3 linked regions of the Stegostoma tigrinum genome follow. The protein of the gene in region 2 purifies or fractionates together with the protein of the main gene of each other region. This does not show direct contact. Links are inferred from orthologs where the notes say so. Each region holds a gene or a part of one and is shown on either strand. Other genes may lie near its edges. The genes, in order: tes, ctnna1 and cadherin-5-like.

Evidence for each region.
Region 1: the proteins of ctnna1 (region 2) and tes purify together in Homo sapiens (affinity purification with mass spectrometry; 3 studies listed by BioGRID and IntAct, with this or other methods). This does not show direct contact. The link is inferred for Stegostoma tigrinum from reciprocal best matches to the Homo sapiens genes CTNNA1 and TES.
Region 3: the proteins of ctnna1 (region 2) and cadherin-5-like purify together in Homo sapiens (affinity purification with western blotting; 4 studies listed by BioGRID and IntAct, counting the BioPlex papers as one, with this or other methods). This does not show direct contact. The link is inferred for Stegostoma tigrinum from reciprocal best matches to the Homo sapiens genes CTNNA1 and CDH5.

The regions. Positions count from the first base shown.
Region 1 is NC_081371.1:33,794,360-33,804,931, reverse strand, and holds the start of tes (testin), read right to left. Parts: upstream 5,035-10,572; 5' UTR 4,944-5,034; coding exon 4,881-4,943; intron 2,078-4,880; coding exon of another isoform or gene 1,979-2,077; intron 1-1,978. Other genes in the region: transcription factor EC, read left to right, coding at 1,979-2,077. UniProt on the Homo sapiens protein: Scaffold protein that may play a role in cell adhesion, cell spreading and in the reorganization of the actin cytoskeleton. Plays a role in the regulation of cell proliferation. May act as a tumor suppressor. Inhibits tumor cell growth.
Region 2 is NC_081366.1:57,467,257-57,477,355, reverse strand, and holds the start of ctnna1 (catenin alpha-1), read right to left. Parts: upstream 5,025-10,099; 5' UTR 4,697-5,024; intron 1-4,696. UniProt on the Homo sapiens protein: Associates with the cytoplasmic domain of a variety of cadherins. The association of catenins to cadherins produces a complex which is linked to the actin filament network, and which seems to be of primary importance for cadherins cell-adhesion properties.
Region 3 is NC_081369.1:63,175,631-63,185,739, reverse strand, and holds the start of cadherin-5-like, read right to left. Parts: upstream 5,144-10,109; 5' UTR 4,980-5,143; intron 1-4,979. UniProt on the Homo sapiens protein: Cadherins are calcium-dependent cell adhesion proteins. They preferentially interact with themselves in a homophilic manner in connecting cells; cadherins may thus contribute to the sorting of heterogeneous cell types.

The sequences.
Region 1 (10,572 bases), on a different chromosome or scaffold from region 2:
GATGAAGGGTCTAGGCCCGAAACATCAGCTTTTGTGCTCCTGAGATGCTGCTTGGCCTCCTGTGTACATCCAGCTTCACACTTTATTATCTTGCTTTTCAGTGTAGATGAGGTATCACATGGGCAACATAAGTGAATCATTTTCCTGTGGTGCTCAGATTTTCTGAAGAAGGGCCAAGGCCCGAAACATCAGCTTTCCTGCTCCTAAGATGCTGCTTGGCCTGCTGCGTTCATGCAGCTCCACACCTTGTTACCTTGATTGTTGATCCTATAACTTGTTCTTGTACAGGATCATGACCATACATCCTGGAGCACTTCCAATCCCTTCTTGCAGAGATAGGGATTTCTTGCAGATTTCTGGGAAGTGAGTTTCCTGCACTTGGTAAGTTTAGGCAATATAGTACCATCTCCTGGAGCTACCCCCATCGTAAGTCAATCAATAGCTTTGCTAAGTTCTTCCATGTCAAACCCTCAGAGGAACTCTGAGGAGGCTTCACTCCCAGCCATATACAGTACTGCCATGTGGACACAACCAGTCATACATGAACCAAACTTCTAGCTCTGGGTGAATCGTCCTACTGCCTCATGAATACCTCAAGAGTGTTTGAGGTTATGGTAATAAATAATTTTTTAAAAATCTGGATTGGAGCACAAAGGCCACCTGATGTCTAACTGTTATCTTTCTGTCAAATCCTACAACCACTCATTGTGTCTTACTGTCCTTTGGACTCAATCAGGGAGGGTGAGAGAAGAACCCACATGCTTAGACTGAACAGAGTCTACGTAACTTATACCCAGGCTTGCACCCTTAAGAGGATGCTCCAGTTCTATTGCAGAGCAATTGCAAAATATGGGAAATAACAGTTACAAATAATAAGCCAACTGACCTACAGAATGGGTGCTATGTGTTCTCTCCATTGGTGGAAGGGACCGTGTATCTATTTGGCTGCCCAGCAATAATCTCAAGATTGGTAAGTTGCTGATCTGCCACAGTTCATCTGCCTTAATGAATGTTTGGAGGCAAAAGTCTGTGATGAACAAGTGGAGAGAGTTCATTGCTCCAGGAAAACAAACAATGCAATCTATCAGAAAGAAGAATGCCAGCTCTTCAATTAGCAAGCTGCAACATCAGAGCTAGGTGCACCAGTTTGACAGCTAACTTGCAACTGGTTGATAATGTATAGCGTATGCAAGACAGCTGTGCCAGACATGGGCTATGATAGGCTGATCATCTTATAGTGTTTGTACAAACAAACCCAGAAATTGCTAGAGAAACTCCACGCTTCAGCACCTTCTGATTTTATGTCAAGTCATCATCATCCGCAGTAGTTTGCTTTTATTTTAGCATCTCTACAAAGTTAGTTGATAGTAAGATAGAAACTGAAGCCCACAAGTTTTAAAATGGCAGTGCCTCCATGACCATAGAACAGTTCAGTTTTGAAATTTTCCATTGATTTTGGTTACAGCAAAGTCACAAATACAAACACAGGAGCAAAAACAAAGTTGCTGGAAAAGCGCAGCAAGTCTGGCAGCATCTGTGAAGAAACTTAGTTCTGAGGAAGGGTTACCGGATGCAAAACGTTAACTCTGATTTTTTTTCTTCACAGATGCTGCCAGACCTGCTGAGCTTTTCCAGCAATTTTGTTTGTGTCCCTGATTTACAGCATCTGAAGTTCTTTTGGTTTTTATTCATAAATACAAAAATTGAAACAGATTGATCATATAATTGTTTTAGCTAATACCCGAAAATGAAACCTCCTGGATGGACAGGTGCTAGCAGAGCTGTGTATCACTACTTTTTCTCAAAACTATGCTTTTGAGTGAAAATCAGTTACATGTATAGTATGTAACAGATATGCCAACATGCGTGTCTTGTCTGTGTTTTCCTATCTTGAATGATTTCGCTCACACTATATGATAAAGAATTTGAGGGCACTTCACTGAATATTATTTTCATCTGCACAACACATTGTTTTTAGATGGATGATGTTATCGATGATATAATCAGTTTGGAATCAAGCTGCTTCAATGAAGATTCTGTCAGCTGTATGGAACCATCTTCTCTCATACCAAACACAGTAAGTACTGTTAGAGGAAAGAGAAGTTTCTTTAAAACCCAACAGCTTGTGGGCAACTGGAGAAGAAATTGGGAAGCAGTAATGACCCAGCATTACGTCTATTCTGAATGTTTTGACCCTTCTTCTGTATAATTTAAAATGGCTGGAAATGTTTATTCTTACCATTCTCCATAATAGTTCTTTAACGGCTGTGGAGAAATTAATTCAAGGAATCACACAAGCTGAAGGAACAATTCTCATATTGTTCTTCAGTTTATTGTTTAGTGGGTAGGCCTGAACTATGTTTGTATTTTGCAATAGGTTTATTTGGTTTAAATATTCCAGAACTACATCACTGGTACTATATTATTGCAATATTGTCTAGGAGAAGACTAAAATCACTGTGATTCTTTGTGTGCTTCAAAGACTAGGATTTTGATAGCAACATCATTTCAACATCATTATCAAAACAGAACTTTTGCTTTTTCTCAATGTGAGAATATTGGCCTGGTTCTCTCTCAATGGGTGAAACTGAGACAGGTACATTTGAATTGTACTTGTAAGATGATATTTGGTTAAAATAACTTGGGAATATAGATGTGTTGTAGATGTCCATACAGCCCAAAGATGTCCTTGCTACCAGCAATCAGGAAGTATGACTGTGTGACAAAGCCAAAGTCCTCATTCTATTCTCAGTGATAGATGATGCAGATTTCAAGTTAATTTAATGGGGAGGATGGCAGGGCTCAGCTTACTTCCAGGATGGGGGTGGAGTTCTACCAATGGTGCAACAATCATGCAGATGTATTTATTATTGGACAAACTAAGTGTAGATTATGTTGTCATGGCACCCTTTATGCATTTCTCCATGGTGCCAGCATTTATTACAGGCTCAATTACATTTATAACCTCCTTATACTTTGTCATATCATTGTCATCTGAGGAGGCCTTGTACAAAACAAAGAATTGCAGATACTGGAAATCTGAAACAAAAACAAAAATTCCTGGAGAAATCCAGCAGGTCGGAGATTGAGAAAAGTTACTAGACCCAAAACATTAACTCCATGGATGCTGGCAGACCTGCTGAGTATCCCCAGTAATTTCTGGTTTTGCCTGTAAGAAATACAAATGTTCCTCATGCCCTGCTCCTTGCAATATCTCTGACTATATTGCAATGCCAGGTTGTGTAATGCACAGCAGACCACTACTATTAGTAACACCTTCAGATGTATATTCTGCAGAGCCCATCTAGACTAGTCAAGGCAGTAGTTATGTACTTTAAGAAATTAAATGGTGTACAGATGGAAAAATGAGCTGAATTGTTGCACTCCTCTGCTTCCCTCTGGTGAAGGCTGTCTGGTCTCTTCATCCATGTACACATGGAATAAGCCTTGTCATTGAAGATCCATCCATCTGAGGCTTCAAAATCCCTTGAATCTGAGTTGTGCACAATTATAGTAACCTGGGAAATGAGCATGGCTTGCAATACCCTTCTCCTGTGGCTTTATACTATTTGTGTATTTGTGTTATTAAACTTTTATAAGTTACAAATTCACCTGGATGTTCCCAAGGAATGTTTATTGGCCTCATGAGTGCAGTTATTGATAGCTGATATTAGCTGTCTCAGAGTTTGGCTATTGTCTTCTGCGATGTGGCTGATAAAACTATTGGGACAACTACATGGGACATCAATCAGCTTCTCTGTGTACCAATGTGTGGCAGCCTTTGAGATGTCAAAAGTATTTCCCATTGCTCCCTGAAAGCCACTGCTAGCATAGAAATTGAGCATTTCTATAACTTTGAGGGTCACTGGCATGGGGTTCCAACCAAATCCAAATGGCTACACTTCTTGATGACCAAGCCAACATATTTCCATGACCATTTCTAAGGGGACTCTTAGATATCTCAGACTTTGCCCCTCTGACATATGGACATAATTTGTTCTTGTCATCTGGATGTGATGTCATGCCAGTGCCCATCTTTGCTGATTCCTTCCCTGATGCCAGTATCTGGGCCAGCCTTCCCCACTGGAATTGCTCTTTTGAGGCCTCTTTTGTTGGACTACAAGAGCTCTCCGTCCTCACATTCTGTCCTTCAATTCCTGAGGCTGTAGGTATATTGCGTGAATGAAACCTGTAACTATGGCAGCAATTGCACTGTGTAAAGGGGGCAGATGTACATATGAGAGCATGCTTGTTCATGGTTCTCATCTAATTAATGCATTGTAGATCTTTTTAAAACAATCTGTTCAGAGATGTTAATGCAGGTAGGACTTCGATCCAGGCCTTTTAATGAATTATAAGCAATTCCCTTTAAATTGGTTTGTCATGTGCAGCATTCACTGCATTTTTCCAAAACAACTTTCCTCTCTTTTAAAATGATTGCTATATTTGGAAAAATATAAAATGATACATTAAAATTGTAGCACGTTTTACTTTCCAAATCTGACCTTGATCCATTTTCTGCCTGAGAAGTGAGTACAATAAATTCCAATGTTTACCATCATGTTTTTCAAATCGTAACAAATTGGTGGTTTTAAATTGTTCAATAAAATATAAAGTAAAATATAATTCCAAAAATCATGAAACCATTATTATTTCATCAGTTGCGATGAATGACACAGCAAATGAGCTGATCTTAGAATAATCACATGCAATAAAATATCGGTAAAATTTGTCTATTCAAGAGCCATAGTCGTCAAGATAGTTTTTTTTAGCTGATGTGTGAGTTCTTTGCAATCCTCTTCAAGTGTTCAAATTTGCACAATGTTGGTAAATTATTCCAAGCATTGATTTTTACAGGCATAGTTACCAATGGTACCTACCTTATTAAATGCAGCTTGAAATGAATATGTCCAGAAGGAAAGAGGCAACTTGCTGTTATCCATGGCAAAATCTGAAAAGTAAAATCTCTAATGTCCAACTGAGAATATTTCTTCTAAATATCAGACAGTGAAACACTGCTTTATTGATTTTTCACTTTGCTGTTTAACTTCTGTTGAAATATTTTCTTGCAAGCTAGTAAACATTAACAATTGTACAGTTTGACATAACATCAAAGAGCTGAACAACCTGCACTGAAAAAAGTTGCTCTTAATACATGTATGTCAGGCTAGTGTTAAAGTCCAACGAGTCAGAGTTCACTTGTTTATGTGAGTTGAATACTTGCTCAAATTTCTGCACACGTCGAAGCCCTGAGAAAAGAAGGAAATTAAAATGAAAGAGAAAAGTAAAACACTTGCTATTGTGGAGTTTATAGAATCACAAAATATAAAACTGGTAAGAAATCAGTTTTCCTATTGCTATTTGGGTTATACTTAGAATAGTCAGCAGAAGCTTGAAGTCTTCTTACTGAGAAAAATGCACAAAATTAAAATCTCTAATGGTGGTTGGGCACATTACCACAGAACAGAACCACTGTACTGAATACATAGTCCTAAAATGGTAACAGTGTCAACATTTTTGCAGCAGATATAAAACAATAGCTTTACTTATTCAGAGAACAGTACAAATTTACAACTTTCTTGGAGCTGTGTAGTTTTCTGTATTTCTGCTGCGATAGTCACAAACATTTGTTGATTATTTTCTGTAATCCTACTTAAACTACTTTGAAAATAAGTTTGCCATGAAGAGTATTATTGTCCTTTTAAAAATCAAATCAGAAAGCTTGATTATTGAATTACTAAAATAGAAAAGTTAACCCAGTGCATGGAAGTCCAAAAATGACAATGTAAAGTTTTTAGTCAATATGTAAAAGTCTTGCAGTTTTAAAAATGCGGTTTAGTTTTTTTTCTTGCCTCTTGTGAGGCCTTTCAACTTTCAAAGGTTATTAATAGATTATAAAGTAACCAAAGAACATTAGAGAACGTGTTAGTCCTTTTGTGATGTAATTACAGGCAGCAGTCTTTCAATTATTTTTATTCATTGATGGTAACATAGAATGACTAGGTAGTTATACTTTTTAAGTTCCCATTACTTTTAAAATTTTACAATGAAATCTTAAAGAATTAGCCAAAATGTTGCATTATTTTCCGTGTGGAATAGTAGTTCCTAGTACCGTAAATGTAACATTGTTTCTAGGAGAGATTAGCTTTCAAAGCTGATTTGTCAGGTTGTTATATTACTACAAATTAAACTTAATGTGGATTCTATTCGTACCCGATTTTCATGATTTGATTAGGTTACATGGAGTTAACTGCAAAGTTGAATGTTGAATGAAGTTTTACACTTCAGTGCAAAGTTCCTTTCTCGGCAAAAATTCCCTGATTAATGCTGGCCATGCTTTCTGAAAATGGTGAAATAGTATCAGTAACTACTTAATGTGGAAATAATGAACAACCATTGCAAAATTTCTAGGGCGGTTTCAAAAATTAAAGGTAAACATTCAAAGCTGTGTATATCAAATATATGAGAAGAACTACAAAGGTAAAGTTTAAATAATATCACTTCACTTTATAGCAGAAAGCAGAAACATTCTCTCATGTGTTCAGCCAATATTTATCACTCAACTAACTATAGAAACAAAGATTTTTCAGTTATTACTTTATTGCTGTTTGTGGGAGAATGTGCAATTTTTTCAATATAACAGTACCTGCCTTTCAAAAGTTAACTTCAGTCCTTCAGTTCTGCAGAAGTTTAAGTTCTTGTGTGTGACTTCAAGTGAAAGAAATTAGTTTAAAGGAACTTGATTCCATTTTTTTTGCTGATGTGAAGTCTGTTCGTACCAATTCTACATTAACCTTTCAACCTTATCTCACTGGTAATACTCCCAACTCTGAGTCAGAGGCTTGGGACAGAAGATCCAGTCTAGAGGTTTGACTAGATGGGTTGGTATTGCAGAGTTACACATTTATTTCTCAAATAAAACCAATAATAGATTAAAACCTGCCTCATGAGTTCTAAACTTCAAGAATATCTCATTGTGCATGAAGCACTTTGGAATATCCTAAGGCTGTGTAGGTACAATTTTAAGACAGGATTTTAAGTCTCTCTTTTTGTATGACTGTCCTGTTTGAACAGGATTTATACAGTGAAACTTCCTTGATCACTATCCACTATCTTTGCAGATATGTCATTTGTATCCAAAGAGTCTAGCCAACAGGACCTTGACAGAGATAATGGGAACTGCAGATGCTGGAGATTCCAAGACAACAAAATGTGAGGCTGGATGAACACAGCAGGCCAAGCAGCATCTCAGGAGCACAAAAGCCGACGCCTCGGGCCTAGACCCTTCATCCAGCCTCACATTTTGTTGTCTAGGACCTTGACAGCTTTTAGTTTCATTGTTTTTCTAGCACTTTTTTGTTTCCTGAGTGTCTTTGTTTTTGGTTCCTCTGCCCATTTTGCCCACTCTTTTATATGATTCTAGGATCACTTCTTGTGTCTTCTACTATGATGATGGATAAGAAATACTTGAATCAAGTCTCTGCCATTTCCTTGCTTCCTGTTATTAATTCCCCAATCTCACCCCCTTCAAAATAAATGGTCACTGTTGCTATGGTTTTAGTTTTTAATATTTCTTGCTAGTTTGCTTATATACTTCAATGACTCTCTTTTTTAACTCATTCTGTTCTGGTTTTTAGCATTTATCCAATTTTCTGGCCTACCAGTAATCCTTGTAGCGTGGTAAAACTTTTCTTTCAATTTAATACCAACCTCAACTTGCTTATATCATCACAGAGGGTGTATTCTTTTCAAAGAATTTCTTTCTCAATGGAATATATTTTTATTGAGAGTTTTATTGAGAGAATATACCTAAAATGTCTGCCAATGCTTCTCTACTGTTTTATCTTTAAACTTATTTGCTTACTCTAATGTTTTCAACTCTGTCTTCATATCCTTATAGTTGCTTTCAAGTAAATTTGTGACACCAGTTGCAGAACCAGAAAATAAAATTCTATTTTGTTATGGTCACTCTTACCTACAGGTACCTTTATTTTGATGTGATTTATTAATTATGTCTCATTACACACTAGCAGGTCTAAAATGTGGAGCTGGAAGAACTCTGCAGGCCAGGCCGCATCAGAGGAGCAGGAAAGTTGACATTTTGGGTCTCTGAAAAAGGGTCTCAACCTGAAACAGCAACTTTCCTGCTCCTCTGATGCTGCTTGGCCTGCTGTGTTCCTCTAGCTCCACACTATTATCCCTGACTCCAGCATCTGCAGTTCCTGCCATCGCCAGGTCTAAAATAGTCTGTTTCTTGATTGGTTCAAGAGTGCACTGTTTCGAGAAACTACCCATAATATAGGAAATGAATTTGTCTTCCAGGTTACCTTTACCAGTTTGATTTGCCTAATCTAAATGAGATTAAAATATCCCCCAATTATTGCAATACATTTATTACGAACTTCCATTGTTTCTTGATTTATAATTTCTTAAATATTGGGACTGTTAGGTAATCTATGAACTATGCCAGCCAATGACTGTCTCTTTCCCCCTTTGCGATTTCTTAGCTTCAACCAAACCTATTATATATTTTGGTCCTCTGTGAAAGGGTTAGGTTCATTTTTCAGAGACCCTCGTGGACTTGATGCAAGAGCAAGACACTGACCTGTTTACAAAAACACAATCCTTTATTATTTAGCAAGTACAAGCTGCAGAGGATTGCTCTACGTAACCGGGCACAGAGTGCTGAGTATCATGAGCGATTCTCCCCAAACAGGGGACAGTCCCCGCTTTTATACCCTTGGAATTGCCAGACACATAAAACAAGTACTACGTCTGAGGACAGGGTACAGCTTTGATCATCACGCAGTGTATGATAACAACAGGATGCGATTTCATGTGGTGACAACTGCCTGGCTTGATCAAAGGTGACTGACCTGGCCATTTCAGCAGAAACAGGGGTAGGCAGCAGTGTGGGTAGAGTCACAAAGATTACATAGCTTAATGTTTTTTGTGTTTACATATGTTTCACACCCAATCCTATTCAGGCAGAAAGTTGAGACAGTGTTCACATACCCCTATATGAGGAGAGAAGGACCATAAAAATTCATGGGATGTTAACCCATTAGCATCTCATTCCCTACTTTTATCATTCCATGATAACCTATATCAGGGCTGAGAAGGGAGCTACTAGTCTGTCAGTCATAATTCTGGAACAAGGGTTCAGGCATACCTGGAACACGCAGCAAATAATTACGACAATAAGACAACCAATCTATACAGTAGGTATAAGCATCAAGAACTACCCAGAAGCTATCCCAACCATCCTTCCCCAGGTCGGGGTCCTTCTCTGTACTGGTCCAACTGACCCTGTATGTCTTCATAGCTTGAGTAATATTATAGGATTCATCGGTAACATGGGTAATGCATTTATCCCCTATAATCGTACATACTCCTCCTTTTTGAGCCAGCTGATAGTACACTGCATACAGGGTTTGCTGAGCATAGGGCCGAAGTTCGGCTAATTCTCGATTTACTGCTTCCAATGCCAACATCATGCCATTTCCCAGGATGGCGAGTCCTCACATAACATAGTTTTGGTTTTTAGTGGACACCATCCCTGAGGCTACTCCTAAAGTGACAGTTCCTAGGAAACCATATCCCAAGGGGGAGCCCAGGGTTACTGGATCCTGCCACTTAGTGCAAAACTCCTTGCTTATGGGGCATGTGACAATTCATCGCCAAGCACGTGCTCACTGAGGACAAGGGACTGTAAGAGGCCCAAGGTCCCAACAGCAAACCGCACCGGTAATGTTGGAGTAGCAGTAGAAAAGGTCCCATTGAGAAGCACGGTAGCAGATAACGGACTCACGTACTATCTTGTAACTATTCCAGGAGGATTGACCCTTAAATGGTTGGAAGCCTGAGGAGTGAAACGGAAATATCCCATACCCCATTTCTACATGGGCGCCATTACAACTCCCACAAGTCCACTGTATACCTGAAGTCACATTTACTGGGCTTGATACCAAACAGGTGCAGTTCAATAGCCCTCCTTTAGTTGTAAAGTTCGTTTTACACACTGATGAGGCCGGGAAGCATCATGGGGATGGTTGGTGACGTTTACTAAGGCATATAAACAACAGCATCCAGTACCATTAAAACAAAGCGGATAGCTGGTTGGATCCGTACAGTTGGCCCCTTCCTTCCCAGGCTTAGGTTTAGTACCTGTACATTTGGAGGAGCTGTTAACAATCAATTCCATACATCGACCCTGCACACCCCTCGTCCAAGTTCCTCCCTACCCTTGGCAAGGCTCACCAGACTAATCTACTTCATAGAGTTGGTGAGGGTTCCATCCTGAGGTTGCTACAAATAAAGCTTCTACAGACTGTGCTAGCAGATAACACACTGATTACCATACAGTTGGTAATGTGTCTTATAAAGCAAATTGTCCTCCAGGCCTAATACCATGAAGGCAGCCATGATATCACAGAGTGCGAGTGTAGTCTTTAGGCCATCTGAGGGCCCCATTGTTTACAGTCACTCAGATGGATCCAGCGACTCTGTCCTCGGACTTTGATTGCTGTTGGTGTCTGAAGGAGTATTTGGGGGTCCTTTCCACCTGGATCT
Region 2 (10,099 bases):
GTCAAAATCCTAGAATTCCATCCCTAATGGCATTGTGGGTCAATCCACAGCAAGTGGACTGCAGTGATTCAAAAAGACAGCTCTTCTAAGAAGCCGTATCTTCTTAAAGACAAATGGGATGGGCAATAAATGCGAGCCAGCCAGCAAGGTCCACATCCTACAAATGTTAAAAAAAACAAACTTTTCACAAGTTTAGAAGTCGCATGACACTAGATGATGTGCTCTGATAGCTTGAGATTTCAAATAAACTTGTTGGTCTATAACCTGGTGCCATGTGACTTCTGACTTTGTCCACTGCAGTCCAACCCTGGCACCTCCACGTCATCACTTAAATTTAGAATTCGACTGCAGAGGTTGTATTGATAATTCCATCATTATTTCTCAAAGCTTATGTTCAAAAAGGCGATGACCAAGCCAAGTACAATCATAATATTTGCAAATGGAGTCTACAGAACTTCTCAAGCATCTACTGGAACTTTACAAAACTAATTTACTCGCATAAATATTAGGAGACACAACACTATTACAAAGTTCACTCAGTTCTTAGGATACACTAACACCAATTGCATTTCAAAAAGAACAGATGGACATAACTCTTGTAAAATGGTAAAAGTGACTTCAGTAAAATAAGTCAATTTCTGAAGAAAAGTCACAAAACTGCAACTACTCAAAGACTCATGAAATGACTGCAGTCCACTGAAAAATATATTCAAGTAAATTATTAAGTTAATCTACAATGAACTGAATTGAAAATGTAGATGAAGACTTGACAGAAAAGATTACATTTCAGAATATTCAGCTTTAACAATAAATTTGGACACCAGCTCGTGTAAGCCTGAAATTCATCAAAATAACCAAGGAAAACCATGAAAATTTTATGAAAACTCTATTCAAATGGTTTTGTAAGACTCTGAAGAGTACATTTTAACACGCAATAAGGAGTGAAACAATCAGATTTTAAACAGATTTGTAATTAACATCACAGTTACGGTTGTATGGATAGTTAAGACTTTACATTACAAGAACCCAAGATAATAAAACGTGAGGCTGGATGAACACAGCAGGCCCAGCAGCATCTCAGGAGCACAAAAGCTGATGTTTCGGGCCTAGAACCCTGCTCTGATGAAGGGTCTAGGCCCGAAATGTCAGCTTTTGTGCTCCTGAGATGCTGCTGGGCCTGCTGTGTTCATCCAGCCTCACATTTTATTATCTTGAATTCTCCAGCATCTGCAGTTCCCATTATCACATCACATTACAAGAACCGCTTCTTTACTGCTGTTAGCAGACTGAAGGATGGACGCTAACTTCAAATACTGTTGATCTTGCTTCTCACACTTTCTGTGCAGTGTAATCTGTATGCTTCATTTTGTCTGAGTGCCCCATGATCTGTATCAGAGAAAATGGGAACTGCAGATGCAGGAGAATCTGAGATAACAAAGTGTAGAGCTGGATGAACACAGCAGGCCAAGCAGCATCTTCGGAGCACAAAAGCTGACATTTCAGGCCTATATCCTTTATCAGAAAAAGGGGAGGGGGGAAGAGGGTTCCGAAATAAATAGGGAGAGAGAGGGGGAAGGTGGATCGAAGATGGTTAGGAGAAGATAGGTGGAGAGGAGACAGACAAGTTAAAGAGGCGGGGATGGAGCCAGTAGGGGTGAGTGTAGGTGGGGAGGGGATAGGTCAGTTGGGGAGGACGGACGGACAAGTCAAGGGAGCGGGATGAGGTTAGTAGGAAGGAAATGGAGGTACGGTTTGAGGTCGGAGGAGGGGACAGATGAGAGGAGGAACAGGTTAGGGAGGCGGTGATGAACTGGGTTGGTTTTGGGATGCAGTAGGGGGAGGGGAGATTTTGAAGCTTGTGAAATCCACATTGATACTATTGGGCTGCAGGGTTCCCAAGTGGAATATGAGTTGCTGTTCCTGCAACCTTCGGATGGCATCGTTGTGGCACTGCAGGAGGCCCAGGATGGACATGTTGTCTAAGGAATGTGAGGGGGCAAGATGGTTCACAACTGGGAGGTGCAGATGTTTATTGCAAACCGAGCGTAGGTGTTCAGCAAAGCAGTCACCAAGCCTCCACTTGGTTTCCCAATGTAGAGGGGGGTACAACAGGGACAGCAGATGCAGTATACCACATTGGCAGGTGTGCAGGTGAACAGGCCTCTCTGATGAAGGGTCTAGGCCCGAAACGTCAGCTTTTGTGCTCCCGAGATGCTGCTTGTCCTGCTGTGTTCATCCAGCTCCACACTTCATTATCTTAGGCCCTCTTGGGGCCTGGGATGGGGGTGTGGGAGGAGGTATGGGGACAGGTGTAGTACTTCCTGTGGGTGCAGGGGAGAGTGCCAGCTGTTGTGGGGTTGGAGGGAGTATGGAGCGGACAAGGGAGTCACAGAGAGAGTGGTCCCTCCACAGAGCAGACAAGGGAGGGGAGGGAAAAATGTCTTTGGTGGTGGGATCAGATTGAAGATGGTGGAAGTGTCACAGGACAGTGCGTTGGATCCGGAGGTTGGTGGAGTGGTAACTGAGGACGAGGGGGATTCTCTTTTGATGGTTATTGCGGGGACGGGGTGTGAGGGATGAGTTGCAGGCAATACGGTTGAGGCCGTTCTCGACCACTGTCGGGGGTGGGGGGGGTACAGTCCTTGAAAAACGAGGACATCTGAGATGCAAGGGAGTGGAATGCCTCATCCTGGGAGCAGACGCGGCAGAGGCAAAAGAATTGGGAATAGGGGATAATAAAATGTGAAGCTGGATGAACACAGCAGGCCAAGCAGCATCTCAGGAGCACAAAAGCTGACGTTTCGGGCCTAGACCCCCGAAACGTCAGCTTTTGTGCTCCTGAGATGCTGCTTGGCCTGCTGTGTTCATCCAGCTTCATACTTTATTACCTTGGATTCTCCAGCATCTGCAGTTCCCATTATCACTGGGAATAGGGGATGGCATTTTTGCAGGAAGGTGGGTGGGAGGAAGTGTATTCTCGGCAGCTGTGTGAGTCGGTGGCTTTGAAATAGATATCAGTTTCTAGGTGGTTGCCTGAGATGGAGACGGAGGTCCAGGAGGGCGAGGGAGGTGTTAGAGATAGTCCAGGTGAACTTGAGGTTGGGGTGGAAGGTGTTGAAGTGGATGAACTGTACGAGCTCCTCGTGGGAGCACGAGGCGGCACCGATACAGTCATCACTGTAACGGAGGAAGAGGTAGGGTTTAGGGCCAGTGTAGGGATCTACTTGTATTGCCTGCAAATAAAGCTTTTCACTGTATTCCAGCACACGTGACAACAATAAAAATCAAAATCAAACTTTGGCAGTTTTCAAGAGATTGTGTCAGATATCTCCATACCTTATTCCTCCCCATCTCTATTTTCTTTTGGCTCTACACAACTTAACATAAGATACCTGTGCTTCTCCAATTCTGCGATCCCAATTTGAATCAACCTTTCTTCAATTAGCAACCACATCTTTAGGTACCCATACCCCATACCCCAAAACTCTACCCTTCACCACACACCAGGTTAGTTTCCCACGTTTTACACGTCAAAAATGTTTCTTCACTTGAAGTTCAGGTGTATGTGTCCTTACTTGGATCAAGCCCAGTTATCACCTTGTTCCTCGTGGACTTTGCCTGACTAAGAGTCAAGAATATTTTAATTTTGAAATTTTCACCCTTAGTCTCAAACTTTTTCATGCTCTCCTCAGATTCCACCTCTAATCTCCACCAGCCCAACTGCCCACAAAAATACACTCCTCCCAAGTGCGACTTGTTCAGCATCCTTGATTTTAATCACTCCCCCATCACTGGCCGTGCATATAGCTACCAGGGCTACTTACCCCAAGATACCCACTTACAATCCTCTCTTCGACAAAAGGTTTTGACCTTTCGTATTCACATGGCTCGATGTCTAATGTTGCTTTATTAACGCACAAATAATCTTAATATATTTTGATCATGTTAAAAGGAGCTGTATTAACAAATTACTGTCAAAACTAGAAAGAAGCAACGTTTAAAAGCTTCACAACATACTTTCGCAGCATTGTTCACATACCCGCTGCCCAGTTACTGAGACATTCTATAATTATTTCAAAATTACAACGTACTGAGATTAACATTTGGGGGAAGGAATACGTAGTCTGAGGTGGCGTCTGAAATCCCATCTACAATAATTTAAAAGGAAAAAGCAATAAGTCACATTTAGAACTCATTTGGATGGAAGGAAAAATAACTTTGGGAAACAGCACATAAAACCCTTAACGAGTGGGACTGTGCACCCAGACTCTGTACCGAGTCGTACTGTCCTGAAATATGTACAACAGCTCATGGGGCGGTGCCGGGCCCTCTCCCTCTCCCGTCCACAAATCCAGGAAGAGGATGAGGCCTAAAATGGGCGGCGAAGAGTCCAAACGAACGCAAAGACTGAGAAATAAAACAGTGTGGTACACACACATTATACTTTTTTGTTTAAAGAAAAGGCAAATCTGTGCCTCTAACCGCAACCGCGGAAATCCTGGCTGAGAAAGAGTGAAGCCCAGCATCAACACCGGGCTCGAGCGGCCATTTAAACTTCGCCGGAGTTCGAAACGGAACTTTTCTAACGGCCACCACCAACAACTGAAACCGTGAGTTTTCACTGAAACTCCATTATTTCTTAAAAGTTACGTTTATTTGTTTTTGTTAACAAAAGTATTTTCCTTCCGCTACTCACTTGGTTTAAATCGCTGTTTTCAATCAGTTCTCCAAACAGTTGTTTTTCTCCAAGAAAAAGTCGTGATTCCGTTTGTTTCCTTTATTTTCTGGCTGCTTCTTTCCCTCTGGCAAAGACACAATACTTCAAACCTGAATGAATCCCAACCTAGTGAGTCACCGAAACCAAACCAGCCTAGAGGAGGGGGAGGGTGAGAAGCGCTTCCAAGGAAGTGGCCACACGCCCCCTGCGCGGCCCGCACCAGAAGCAAACGTGAAAAGTGCGCGGAGAGGAAAAAAAGTCCCCAAATAAGAATAAAGACTCACTAAATTAAACAAACAAAAATGTAATTTGGAAAGAACCGTGCTCTGACCTGAAGGGGAAATTATGTAGAGTTGGCCAATGCCGGTGGGAGGGTAACAAAAGTTGGAAATGGCCTCAGTGCCACACCCAGAGGGAGCAGCAACAAGAAGCTGTTTGTGTCATGATATCAGGTGTGAACCCATAGGGTGAGGGAAAAATGTAATGAACGTTTTACAGTAATTCTTAGACACTTTATAAAGTCGGTCTTTCGTGCCGTCTTTGAGAGCAGGTGGGAAGTTCAGCGCATAAATTAATCACCATCGCCAATTTGTCTTGTGAAAGTGTTTCATTTTCTTCATGTAAGTCATGTTTGATGGCAGGTTGCTTTATTTCTAAGAAAACATTTTAAAGACCAAATAAAAGGAAAGTACTGAGAATGTTGTAAATCTGTTCTAAAGAGCCATGTCTTCATAAGGTTGTTTCTGTTTTCACAGATGCTGCCAAACTTGCTGAGTTTCTCCAGCACTTTCTATGTACCAAAAGGGGCCGAAGCAAACTGGTCTGCTGATTTTGACAGGACCTCCTAACTCACCTAAGGTTAGGCACATACCCCAAGATTCCTACTCCCTGCAAGTTCCCCACCAAGTCTCATGCTATCAGTGCTTGGACATATATTTGCAATTCTTTCACTATTCCTTGGTCAAAGCAAGCATTAATGACTATCACCGAGGGGCTCTGACCTCCGTAATCATGAAGTGCTTTGAGAGGCTGGTCATGGCCCACATCAACTCTAGTTTCCCCAGCCTGCCATGATTCCCTGCAATTTGCCTCCTGACATAACAGGTTCACAACAGATGCCATCTCCCTAGCCCTGCACTCATCCCTGGAACATCTGGACAACAAGGACACTTACGTTAGACTCCGGCTCATCGACTACAGCTCTGCCTTCAACACCATTATCCCCTCCAAACTGATCTCAAAACTCTGAGACCTAGGTAAATAAAGGCAACTGCAGAAGCATGAGGGAAGAGCTGGGCAGAGTTGATTGGGAGAGGAGTTGAACAGGAAAGACAGTGGAACAGCAAGGCAGGATTTTCTAAGAGTAATTCAGGATACAGCAAAAATTCATCCCGAATAAAAAGAAACAGGGTGGGTGAGGCAACAAAGGCTGACTAGGGAAGTCAGGGATAGCATAAAAGCAAAAGCGAAGGCATATCATGTGGTGAGAGAAATGGAAAACCAAAGACCAACAGAAAATTAACAAAAAAATGAAGAGGGAGAAGATTAAATATGAGGGTAAGCTAGCCAGTAATATAAGGAGGACTGTAAGAGTTTATTTAGATATTATAAAAGGCAAAATTAGAAATTGAACCACTGAAAATGATGCTGGAGAGATAGTAGTGGGGATCAAGGCTGAGGAACTGAATAGTGATAATGGGAACTGCAGATACAAGAGAATCCAAGATAACAAAGTGTGGAACTGGATGAACACAGCAGGCCAAGTAGCATCTCAGGAACACAAAAGCTGATGTTTCGGGCCTAGACCCTTCATCTCTCTGATGAAGGGTCTAGGCCCGAAACGTCAGCTTTTGTGCTTTTGAGATGCTGCTTGGCCTGCTGTGTTCATCTAGCTCTACACTTTGTTATCTGAGGAACTGAATAATTACTTTGTGTCAGTCTTCATAGTGGAAGACAAGTAATATCCCAAAAATTCAATAGTGTCAGTGGACAGAGCTGAGTATGGTGGCCGTCACCAAGGAGAAGGTGCTAGAAGAAACTGAATGACCTGAAGGCGGATAAACCAACTGGACCAGATGGACTACACCAGAGGTCTTAAGGTGATAGTTGAAGAGACAGTGGAGGCATTTGTGGTGATCTTTCAGGAATCACAAGAGTCAGGGAGGGTCCCAGATGACTGGAAAATCACAAACGTGACAGCCAGTTTAAAAGGGGAGTAAGGTGAAAAACTGAAATTTATAGGCTGATTTGCCTAATGTTGGTTGTGGGTAAGATTTTGGAGTCCATTGTGAAGGATGAGACTTCAAAATTTAAAAAAAAAACAGAAGAACTGTGGATGCTGTAAATCAGGAACAAAAACAAAGTTGCTGGAAAAACTCAGCAGGTCTGGTAGCATCTGTGAAGGAGAGAACAGAGTTAACTGTGACACTTCCTCAGAACCGATGGTGGCTGGGAAAATGGCAGTTTATATGCAGAAAGTAGGGAGTAAATGATATGATAGGGCCCAAAGAGAGAGAAAGATAGTTGGACAGACAAAGGAGTTGCTAACGATCAAACTGGGAGGGTGAACAGCTGTTAATGGGGACTGTTAGTGACGAACAATAGCAGGTGTGTAATGACAGGCTATGTGGTAACAAGACCTGGTGTGTGGGGTGATGGGCTGGGACATGGGAGAGTTTAGGCCATAAAATTATTGAACTCAATATTGAGTCTGGAGGGTCCCCAAACAGAAAATAAGGTGTTGTTCCTCCAGCTTGTGTTGGGCTTCACTGGAACACTGCAGCAAGCCAGAGACACAGATGTTGGCCAGGTAGCAGGGTGGTGCATCAAAGTGGCAGGCAACAAGTAGTTCAGGATCTTTTTTGCGATCAGAACGTAGATGTTCTGCGAAGTGGTCACCAATTCTATGCTTCGTTTTCCCAATGTAGAGGAGACCACATTGTGAGTAGCGAATGCAGTCAACTAGAATCTGGGAAGTGCGGGTGAAGTGTTGCTTCACCTGGAAGGTATGTTTGGGCCCTTGGAAACTGGAGGTAAATAGGCAGGTGTTGCACCTTCACCGGTTACAGCAGAATGTGCCGTAGGACTGTGGGGTAGTGTTGGGGGTTTTATTCCTTTCTAAGTGTAACATAATTAACTTTAAGATAATCATACAAAATAGAATGAAGGCAATTTGTCCTGATGTGGACTGTTGTAGGTTGCTGCCAACAAAACAGACAACAACAGTAAGACACCATACAACCTAACACACTGACCACACTGCCCTACATCAAGAACATTTTGAAACTGACAACAAGACTCCTAAGACCACTCTGAATCATGGTGGCCCACAAGCCCACAGCCACTGTATGACAAGCACTTACAAGGATTAAAGACCACATTCCTACAACATACAAAATGAACGTGGTTTACAAAAATACCATGCAACGACTGCCACAAACATTACCTCGGATGGTCAGGAAGGAATCTTGCCATCAGAACACATAAGCATCAGTTAACAGCAAAACACACGAAGAGCTCTCTCTAATAATTGTACATTCAGACAATGAAGGCCATCAGTTTAACTGGGATAAAGTAACCATAGTAGCCCAAGCCAAACATAGACGCACACAGGAATTCCTAGAGGCATGGTGCTCCATCCATACTTCAATCAGCAAACATATAGAATTGGACCCCATACACAGACCCCTGCACATCCAAAACAGAAATGACAAGACCACTTCCATCTAGAAGACAAAGGCAGCAGACACATAGAAACAGCACCGCCTCCAAGCTCACCTCCAAACCACTCTGCATCCTGAGTTGGAAATGTATCGCCATTCCTTCACTGTTGCTGGGTCAAAACCCTGGATTTCCCTTCCAAATTGCCTGCTGAGGGTCGACCTACAGCTGGTGGACTGCTGCGGCTCAAGAAGCCAGCTCACTACCACCTTCTCAAGGGCAACTAGGGATGGGAAAGAAATGCTGGCCAGCCAGGAAAGCCCACATCTCATAAATGAATTTTAAAAAAAGAAACTTTTTTGAAGACTCCACTTAGCTGCCACAAGTCTTACTTCTAACATCACTCTACGTTATTAAACGGTCATGGCTAGTTCAGTGTACAGGTTATTATAAGTGGTTCTCAGAGAACTGTGGACATCTTAAAAATTTATTAATATCTGCTTGTTTCTACAAGTTATTCTACAAACAAATTTACGTAAATTTACTTTATTTATTTAAACAAACAGATGAAATGTTGGGATCTACCGTGGAGCCAGTTTCAAGGCATACTAGCTGCACAGTACAGAACTAAATGCAGTGGAATGAATGAGTTCACTCACTTTCTGAGAATCCTGGATTTATTGTAAATGTTGTTCAGGAAAAGTAATAGCAAAGGCTATTAGCATTACATGAAAGGTGAAAGAAAAGGCAAGATTGCAACTGGTCAAAATGAACAGTGAAATAGAACACTGCTAGTGCTGTTGACTCCCTAGAAGCTCGAAGTGTACTTCCTGTATTTAGTAAAATCAATGAGAAATCATTGTACTTTATTTACCTAGCAAATTTCCTTTCTGGTTTACGTATGCTGCTCAATACTTACATTCTTACAGGTGACAATGCCAGCACAGCGCATAATTCATTTCAGACGTGGCTTTGGTAAGTCAGCCTTTAAATACCCTATGCATTTTCATTAAGAAGTTTTCTGGACTGAAGGAGCAGCCCACAACAGATTTTGTGGAAGGCCAGGAATGGATGGCATGTCACTGCTGACATTGCTGGCCTTGTTTGGCTCAACTCCCAGGCAATCCGAGAATTTTGAAGAGGCTGTGTGCAATTATAATTGAAAAGCACTTGTCAGCTCTAAGAATAGCAAGGCATAACATTTACAAGACACTGGTAAATATTGTCCTCATAGTAGGTTCTAAAATATGAAAGCCCAGAAAAAAGATTCATTTTTATTATATAAGTAACATTCAATGTCATATTGGTTAACAGCTTTGAACGGATGAGCTTTACTATTGATTCAGTATTTAATTCACAAACAAGAAGTTTGAAACTTGCAGCTTCACTTGTTAAGTATATCTGCTTTCTCCCTACAAAGAAATACATGTCCAATTATCAAAGTTATAAGTTAAAAGCAGCTATTACTTTAGTGGCAATTCACAGAGTCATACAGCGTGGAAACAGACCCTTGTTCCAACTAATCTGCACTGACCATGTTCCCAAACCAAACTAATCCCACTTGCCTGTGTTTAGCCCATATCCCTTCAAATCTTTCCTATTCATGTACTTATCCAAATGTCTTTTAAATGTTGTAACTGCACCTCATCCACTGCATCCTCTGGCAGTTAGTTCCAATGCAAACCACCCTCTTAAAAAAGTTGCACCTTCTATCTTTTTTTA
Region 3 (10,109 bases), on a different chromosome or scaffold from region 2:
GTCTATCTACAGCACATGGACTGCAGCAGTTCAAGAAGGCAGCTCACGCGCACCTTCTCATGATATGGATAATTAATGTTGGGCTAGCCAGCAATGCCCACAACTCTGAATTTTCTTTTGAAAAACTACAAATGAAACTTATTATTTATATATTGGGAAATTAAACTTTTACTCTGCAGTCAGAGGGTCTAGGCCCGAAACGTCAGCTTTTGTGCTCCTGAGATGCTGCTTGGCCTGCTGTGTTCATCCAGCCCCACACTTTATTATCTCGAATTCTCCAGCATCTGCAGTTCCCATTATCTCTGATACAATTTTAACCCCTAGTAATTGAATCCCCCACTCTGGGAAAAAGCTTCTTGCTATCCACCCTGTCTATACCCGTCATGATTTTGTAGACCTCAGTCTGGCCCCCCTCAACCTCCATCTTTCTAATGTAAATAATCCTAATCTATTCAACCTCTCTTCATCGCTAGCACACTCCATACCAGGCAACATCCTGGTGAACCTCCTCTGCACCCTCCCCAAAGCATCCACATCCTTTTGGTAATGTGGCGACCAGAACTGTACTCAGTATTCCAAATGTGGTCGAACCAAAGTCCTATACAAGAGTCGACAAAGTAGGAGCAGTATGAACCTGGGTTATGATTAGACAGCCTGAGCTGTAGGGTTGCAATTCAGGCTGGATTTGACTGACAAATGGCATTTTCCCTGACTGCAGAGTAAAGATTTAATTTCCCAATAAACTTCATTTGTAGTTTTTCAAAGAAATACTCACAGAGTTGTGGGCATTGCTGGCTAGCCCAGCATTAATTATCCATACAATGAGAAGGTGGGGGGTGAGCTGCCTTCTTGAACTGCTGCAGTCCATGTGCTGTGGGTAGACCCACGCCCATGAGGGAGAATATTCCAGGATTATGACCCAGCGACAGTGGAAGGATTGCATTAGAGGTCGACATTACGGTGTGTTTGGTTGGTGTGTTAGTGGTGTTCCTTTGTAGTGGCTGGCCTTGTCCGTTCAGATGGTCGAAGGTGATGTCAATTGTGAATTTCTGCAGTGCACCTTGTGGATGATACACACTACTGTTCCTGAACATTGGTGGTGGCAAGAGTAGATGCTGAAGGTGATGGTGTCAGTGCTAATCAGAGGGGAAACTTTGTCTTGGATAGTGTTGTTGGAGCTGCAATTGTCCAGGTAGTATTCCATCACTCTCCTGACTTGTGCCTTGCAGATGATGAACAGGGTTTGGGGACTTGGGAGGTGAGTTATTCAATGCAAGATTCCTAGAATTTCCCATACAGTTATAGTAAATTACATTATAGAGGACTCTGAAGCAAGATGGACTGTTTAGATCTTAAGCTAAGACCATCACTTCCTTTTTATTTGCCAGATGTGGACATTTCTGTGAGAATTCAACATGAAAGAACAGATCCTCAGAATCAGAGTCAAATACTTTTGGAAGAAATTCAGAAGAGGCCTTTCTCTCATGGAGTTTTCAAGCAAATTGAGATAGTGTAGGGAGATGGGCTTAGATTAGTTCACAGTTCGGCGCAACATCGAGGGCCGAAGGGCCTGTTCCGCGCTGTATTGTTCTATGTTCTATGTTCTAATTTGTTGCTTTCTGTCCACCAATGTGGCATGCTGGGATATGAGGAATGGCCACAGGAGTTGGGATTGATTTCCACTGGCTGGTCCTGGCCTGGGCCACTGGTCCCATTCCCCTTGGCTCCAAGGAAACTCCTCTCCCACCACCCCCAACAGCCCCAAGCCCCGGTAAGTTGCACCCTCTTATAGCACTCCTGACCCAGGCCCCGGACCTGACCTGTCCTGTGAGGGGACGTGGTGACGTGGACGGTGAGAACCTGGTGTAAAAAAAAGAGGCTTCCTCGAGAGACACTCACTGTGTGACACCTTAGCATGGTTTGGACTGGCATGTCCCTGCATTCCTCCTCTCAGTGTCAACATCGAGAGAGTGGGAGGGACATCGCCTTCAGTGGCTAATAATTTACAACTTGAGGCCTAGACTAGGGTGGGCCATCTTGAACTTCACCCACAAAATATCCAGTTAGGCCAGTGTCAGGTAGACAGGCTCTCTGGGGAGTTTTGTGACTTCCCCACCATCACCTACAACTGGGCTAATGGGGTTTATATTTCTGCCCCTGGGTTGGGACTCAAGCACAAAGCCACTTGAGTGGGAAACAGGATGGTTACTCACTTTATCAGTTACACCTCCCTGTGCAGTCTGCTCACCGAGCATCCTGTTTTAATCAGCAATTTATATTGATTGCTCCCCTCCTGTTTCTCGAGTTCTGACTTGCTTCCCACCTACAGAATCCCTTAAGCTAGCTTTTAGAAGTCACAAGGTAGGGTCACATTGAAGACAAAAGAACACGTGTCCCCAGACTGTGAGATTATGAATCCACCGTAACTTTCCGAATGTAAAAGCAAATGAGTTAGAGTTTCAGCTGCTGTGCTTCTTTCTGTGATGTGATGCTGTTTTAATTCCTGCTTATACAATGTATAGTCCTGCATTAATCATGTAGTGCTCCAATTCTGTTTGGATTTGTCTCTCACGCTTTTTCAAAGATACTCTGTTCTGGGCAGAACCATAGCTTCACCCAGCACTGAATGAGGCCATTCAGCCAAATCGCTACTACTCTTTTGAGGAGCTGAATGTTCCGTGTTCTTTTGCCCACAGACACCGATTTCTTCCCTTTCCAAATATTAGCCCAAATCCATTTTGAATGTTACTGCTGGATTTATGGCACCATTTTAGGCAGTACACGTACAGATGCAACGCATTAAAAAAAATTCTTGACTCTTCTCATGGAGACAAGCGAATCAGAGAACTTTCAGGACTACTGGTGAATTCAGGTAAAATAAAGAGCTCCCTGGCAATACCAGTGTGGTCATAATGGGCTGAATGGCCTGCTCTGATCAACGAGCTTCATTCCATTCCTAATATCACTGTGGGTGCCCTTATATCTCAATGCAACGGTTCACCATCACTTTCTCCAGGATAGTAAAGGATGGAAAACAAATGCTGGCCTAGCCAGGGATGCTTGCATCCCATGCATAAATCATAGAATTGCTACTGTGCTGAAGGAGGCCATTCAGTCCATTGTCCTGTGCCGGTTCTATTCCATGGTGCTTTCCTCTTGCATTTTCCTTAGACCCCTGCACGGCATTTCTATCCAAATAACCCGCTGGAATGCCGAAATAAATAAATAAACATACTCCCAGATATTCTAATTCACTTGAAGATTATGATGGAATCTGGTCCCAATATTATCTTTAGCAGCTCGTCCCAGACCACAATGATCCACAGACTAAAAAATTAGCTGCTACACCTGCTTCTTTTGCAAAACGCTGTTGAATTTCTGTTGACTCCACATCGAGTGTTCTGCCAGAGGAAGTGTTGATTCTGTTTGTTACAATCAGTCAAACCCCTTGGGTATCAGGCTTTGCTACTTGAAGGTTTTACATCATGCTTGCATCAAACTGGATCAGACTTGAACAGTAGTTTGCAATAGATCACTCAGACATGGGAAAAGCAGAAAGAATAACACCAGCTTCAACCACAAGCAATTCTTAGGGGATTTAACAAAGTAAGATGTCCCAAGGTGCACCCTCCCTCTCAAGAAGGTCAGGAAAGTGACGTCCTTTCATTGAACCACAGAATCCCTACATTGTGGAAGCAGGTCATGCAGCCCATTGAGACCACACAGACCCTCTAAACAGCATCCCACCCAGACCCACCTGATCCTATCCCAATAGCCCTGCATTTGCCATTGCTAATCCCCCTAGCATACACATCCCTGGGAACAATGGGTAAATTAGCATGCCAGGTCCATCAAATCTGCAATTCTTTGCGACTGTGGGAAGTAACCGGAGCACCCGAAGGAATCCCACACAGACGTGGGGAGAATGTGCAAACTCCACACTATCACTTGAGGTTGGAATTGAACCCAGGTCCCTGGCATGGTGAGGCAGCAGTGCTAACCACTGAGCCACCATGCCAACTCTCTGTGGTGAGCATGGCTCTCAGCACCTACCTAAATGATCTGATTATAGTTCGTCCGTTTCCCAGGACTACAAGGGGTTAAATACAGAGTAAATCTCCCTCAACACTGTCCTAATGAACATGCTCAGTACAGGGACAGCATGGGGTTAGATACAGAGTAAATCACCCTCTACACTGTCCTCTATCAAAAACTCTCAGGACAGGGGACTGCACAGGGTTAGATACAGAGTAAAGTTCCCTCTACACTGTCCTCATCAAACACTCACAGAACAGGAACAGCACAGGAATAGATACAGAGTAAAACTCTCTCTTCGCTAATCTATCAAACACTTCTGGAACAGGGGACAGCATGAGGTTAGATAGTAAAGCTCCCTCTACATTGGCCCCAATCAAATACTCCCAGACCAGGGACAGCACAGGGTTAGATACAGAATAAAGTTCCCTCTACACTCTCCCCTTCAATAACTCTGAGGACAGGGGACAGCATGGGGTTAGCTACAGGGTAAATCTCCCTCTACGCTGATACCCCATCAAACACTCCCAGGGCAGGAACAGCATGGGCTTAGATACAGAGTAAAGTTCCCTCTATACTCTCCCCCTCAAACAGTCTCAGGACAGGGAACAGCACAGGATTAGATACAGAGTAAAGTTTCCCCTATACTCTCCCCAACATACGCTCTAGGACAGGAGGCAGAATGGGGCTAGATACAGAGTAAAACTTTTTCTACACTGTCCCCATCAAAAGCTCCCAGGACAGGAACAGCACAGGGTTAGATACCAGTAAAGTTCCTTCTTCAGTGTTCCAGGTCAGCTACCACATTTTTTACCTCGTACAATTTTGATTCTCAGCCGTGGAAATACTTGAAATCACTGTCACTCTGCCATAACTCACTGACAGTTCCAGTTGTTGATAACTGTACCGCCCCTCCAATTACTTACTGAATCAAATTCACTCACCACTTTTCAAATTACGCCAGTCCCCTGCAGTCCTGTTTACATCCAAAAGTAAGGAATATTCAGAGACACACGGATATAGCGCAGATTATAATGCTAGCTTGCAGAGTTGACTTGTCTGGTTGTGATGTTCAGTGTGTTGTCCCAGCCTTCCAGAGCGAATTGTTCCTCAGTTCCTACTCCTGGGACCCAGCCTGTTTGCCATTCAGTCATTTCCTGACATTGTCCAACACTTTTGTGATATCAGGGCTGAGGGCTGAGAGTGTCGGAAACCAGATAAATTGAACATAATTATCCCAAAGTAGCTACTTGCTTTTCAGAGACATAAATGGTGATTAAATAATTGCGTTGTATGACATGTAATGGATTTTGGGAATTGCCTGCAGTGTGAACTGGTCGCACAGTGGGCGTACTTAATCCAATTCAAATAAATGATCACTCTCATCGGTTTACTTCATACATTTTCAGTTTCTCTTTTAAACAGAAAAAGGGCTCACTGAAGTGGACAAAGTGGGAGCAAGCTTAATTTCAAAGGAAGCACGTTCTTCACCCTCACCAGTTAGACCCCTTTGACCTGTAGCAATGTCCCTAAATTCGAACCAGTAATTGTCCCCAAGTGAATCCCTGATACCTACAGCATTCTGCTTTGAAACAAAATGATCTGAAATGAAAACAGAGATAGGAGCAGCTCTTTTATGAATTAAAAAAAAATGTTGTTGAGGACATTATCTGGTTAAAATAAAGTTGAATAGTATTGACTTAAGAATGAGCAACAGTGTAATCTCGAAAGGGAAAATTGACCCAATGAACCTGGATATTTTTTGATAAATTAACCCTAATTTCTAGTCCTATCCACCCTGTTCCAAAAACATGTACAATTGTCTCTTGAACCCTTTTAACAGTCTCGTTCAATGACCCTCGCTGATAATTTAGTCCATAACCTCATTATCCTTTCATATCTCCCATCTTGACTTCCCTTCTTACTTCTCACTTCCTTATTTTATTTTTCATCATGTCCTGGACAGTTCAATGCACCACTGCACACAGCAATTTGTATCCACTAAATGTTTCGTTCATTTTTGTACTCTTCATGGAGACATGGGCCATTTCTTGCCTATTGCTTTATTGTATTTGAGAAGATGCTGGTGTGTTTTCCCCTTATGCATAGCACTGTACCAAGAAGGTGCTGTCAAGGCGCTGCTAGGTACTGGTTTCCAGGTGAATGAACTGCTCTGAAGGTACAGCCAATATAAGGAGTTCAGGTCTGAGTTTTTGTGAACAAAATGCTGCAGATGCAGGAAATCTGAAACAAATATAGAGAAGGCTGGAGAAACTCAGAACCCTGGCAGCATCCTTGGAAGAGAAACGTAGTTAACGTTTTGGGCCTGGTATGACTCCTCTTTGGAAGTTCTGGGCTCTGAAAAAGTCATAGCTTTAATTCTGCTTTCTCTCCACATATGCAGCCAAACCTGGCGAGTTTCTCCAGCATTCTCTGTATGTGTTTGAGCTTGACGTAGAGATTTGGAGCAAACAGCTTCAATGTCAATACACCTACAGCCCAGAGATAGTTCAGACTGGATTCTCAATACGCACCAGCTGCAGTAATAGCTGGAAGCACAAAATAAAGCAGGAAGCTTGGAGGTGGAGCTGTTCTCAAGGGATTGTTGGCCTTGTCTTTGTAGCTGATGGAAGATGTGTGTTCTTACTGTGCAGGAAGCCTTGGGAAATAGCAGCAGCTGCAGTGATGGAGAGAGTGCCTGTTTAAGATGATGGATTTCAACAATGTGACACAATTGTTATTAAAAATACAGAGTGGACAATAGGACTGAGCTCCTGTTGATGAAGTAGTGTTACACTCGTGCTGGCTCAGCTGAAAGGAATCTGAAATTGTGAATTGGCAATAATTCCAAAAGCAACATGGATGTTGCAACTGACGTTCATGTCCCCCTGGGGCGCCTTGCATAATCAGGAGTTCATATCTGCTCAGGTCAGGATCAGTTCCTGGAACAGACAGCTGAAGAGAGAGGATGTCAGTGTGAACTTCTACCACTTAGCCGGGAGTTTAATGAAAATACAGAGATCGTTACATTCAGCTGAAAGAAAGAGAACTTTACCGCACTCCTCAACAGCTTGTTGAATGAGATCACTTTGAGCCAAACAGAATGAAGGGGTCCCAAGTGCAACATCTCAGTCTCCCGGGGTCAGAATGGGGTTGTCCAGCCCGGGTTCTCTCAGAAGTTTGTGGGCATAATTCCCACCCCAGGGATTTCAGCATGCTATCTGGTCCGGACCTTGCTGTATCAGTGAAGAAACGTGAGAAATCGGAGCAGGAACAGTCCAGGAGGGAGTGCTGCGCTGTTGGATTTGCATGGGGCATTAAACCTGAGGCCCCCTTGGCAAGCAATGGCAATGTGCTTTTGTGATGAAGGAGCTTCCTCTTGCAGGAATTTAGAAACATCTTAAAAAAGGAAAAGTAGAGAATGGGAGAGGTTAAATGATGGAATTCCAGACCGAGTTAATGGATACCACTGATGGTATGATGACAAATGTGTGGTGCTCAAGAGGCCAAGATTGGAGGAGAAAGGAATATCTTGGGGTGGTGCTGTCTGGGGAGATCACAGCGATAAGGGTGGGGAGGTGGGGATAGATATGGACCAAAAGCAGGTTTGAAAATTTAAAACTGCTGGATCAGGAGCTGATATATGTCAGCAAGCGCAGACTTCAGTCAAATGGTACTCACTGAGGACCTTTCCTTAAAAATTCCACACACGCCCAATCTTCTTCAAAAGGTCCTAATCTTCTCAGTCTCTAATTGGTCCATTTATTTTAAGTACATCCCTCCCTTCCATGTCTTGTTGTAGATCTAATTCTGAGATGCTTCTGTTTTCACAAATGAGGACATGAATAACGCACCAGAAATCATGGGGAACACAGGGTTTGGTGAGAGGGAGGGACTGAAGCAAATCTGTATTAGTAGAGAAATGGTGTGGGAGAAATTGATGAGACTTAGGGCTGATAAGTCCCCAGTGCCTTTTAATCTACATCCCAGACTACTTAAGCCAATGGCACGAGCTATAACGGATACATTGGTTGTCATCTGGCAAGATTCTTTTGACTCTTGTACAGTTCCTATTGATTGGAGATTATTTAACATAACGACACTATTTAAAAAGAGAGGTGCAGAGAATTATGGACAAGTGAGCCTGACATTGGTAGTGGGGAAGATATTGCAGAACATTATCAGGGTTTTATAGCAGAGCGCTTAGAAAGCAGTGGTGGAATCAGACACAGTCAGCAGAGAATCACAAAAGGGAAAGCAGGCTTGACAAATCTACTGGAACTATTTGAGGATGTAACCAGTAGGGTTGATCAGTGGGAGCCAGTGAATGTAGTTCATTTGGACTTTCAGAAAGCTTTTGGCAATGTCCCACATGAGAGATTATTGTGTAAAATTAAAGCTCATGGAATTGGGGGCAGTGTGATGAGATGGATAGAAAATTGGTTAGTAGACAGGAAGCAAAGAATAGGAATAAGTAGGTCTTTTTTGAGTGGCAGGCAGTGATTAGTGAGGTACCACAGGGATCAGTACCAGAGATCTGGCTATTCACAACATATGTTAATGTTTCAGATGAGGGTGCGAAATGCAAAACTCCAAGTTTGCAGATGACACGAAGCTGGTTGGGAGGGTGAGCTGTGATGAGGATGCAGGGATGTTGCAGTGTGATTTTGATAGGCTGAGTGAGTGGGCAAATGCATTGTAGAAGCACCATCAGGTGGATAAATGTGAGGTTATTCACTCTGAGAGCTAAACTAGGAGGGCAGATTATTATTCGAATGGCTGTAAATTGTAAGAGGCAAATGTTAAATGAGACCTGGGTCCCTGTGCACCACCCGCTGGAAGTAAACACATAGGAGCAGCAGGTGATAAAGAATGTAGACTGTATCAATAAATGTGGAGCTGGAAAGACACAGCAGGTCAGGTAACATCCCAGAAGCAGGGAAGTCAATGTTTTGGGCCAAAACCCTTTGTCAGGACATGGGAGGGGGAGGGGAACCAGAAATAGATAGAGGGAGGTGGGTGGGGACAGAGCAAAAGCAGGTGAGACAGAGATAGGTGGATACATGTAGGGGGTTATTGTGGGTGGTCAGCTGGAAGGGTAGTGCAGGACCATGAGTCAGAAGATGTACAGGGTTGTGGGAGGAGAGATTTTGAAGCTGGTGAAGTTAATACTCAAGGCTGTAAGATCCCAACGTGAAATATCAAGTGTTGCTCCTCCAGTTTATGTTTGGCTTCACTCTGACAGTGGAGGAGGCCAGGGACGGACATGTCACCAGCGTAGTGGGGAGGGGATGTTAAAGTGGATAGCAACTGGAAGGTCGGGTTGGTTGGTGTGTGTGGCAATGTTGCTGACCACATGACAGCCAGTGACCAAGTCATTATTTCTACTTCCACCCATGTGACCCTTCCTGTACACACACCCACTCCACCAGCTGCAGTCTCCCAGCTCCCAGCTTAACACTCAGCCCTGTCCCCAGGGCCCTGCTGGGTATTCATCATTCCCCTCCCTGAGACTTCCCGCTCAGTGAGGCTGAATGGTCAGTCCTCTGCAAACGGCTCACCTTCATTCCCCTGTGCCCACATGTGAATAACTAATAGATGTCGAGCTGTTTATCCATTGCCTCTCCCTCCGCGCCTGTTTCTTTGAACAGGAATCCAACCCACCCTCTGATGACACCTTCTTCCACCTCCAGCAAGCTCCATCCTCCTACATACCCTCTGCCGGCCTCCTACCCTCCCTGAACCTCTTCCTCTCCAACTGCTGCCATGACATCAATTGCTTGGACCTCTCCACGCCTCTCACTCACTCCGACCTCTCACCATTGGAAAACACGGCCCTCTGCTCCCAACACTCCAACCCCAACCTCACCACTGAAACCACCCACAAGGGCAGGGGGTGGGCACAGAGATAGTACAGCAAACTGACCCCTACATTGCTGAGGCCAAATGCCAACTCTCTGACACCTCCTCCTCCTACTGTTCCCTCGATCATGATGCCACCTCTGATCATCAAGGCACAGCCTCCAACCTGATAGTTCACCAACCCTGCACTGTCCATTTCTATCTCCTCCCTA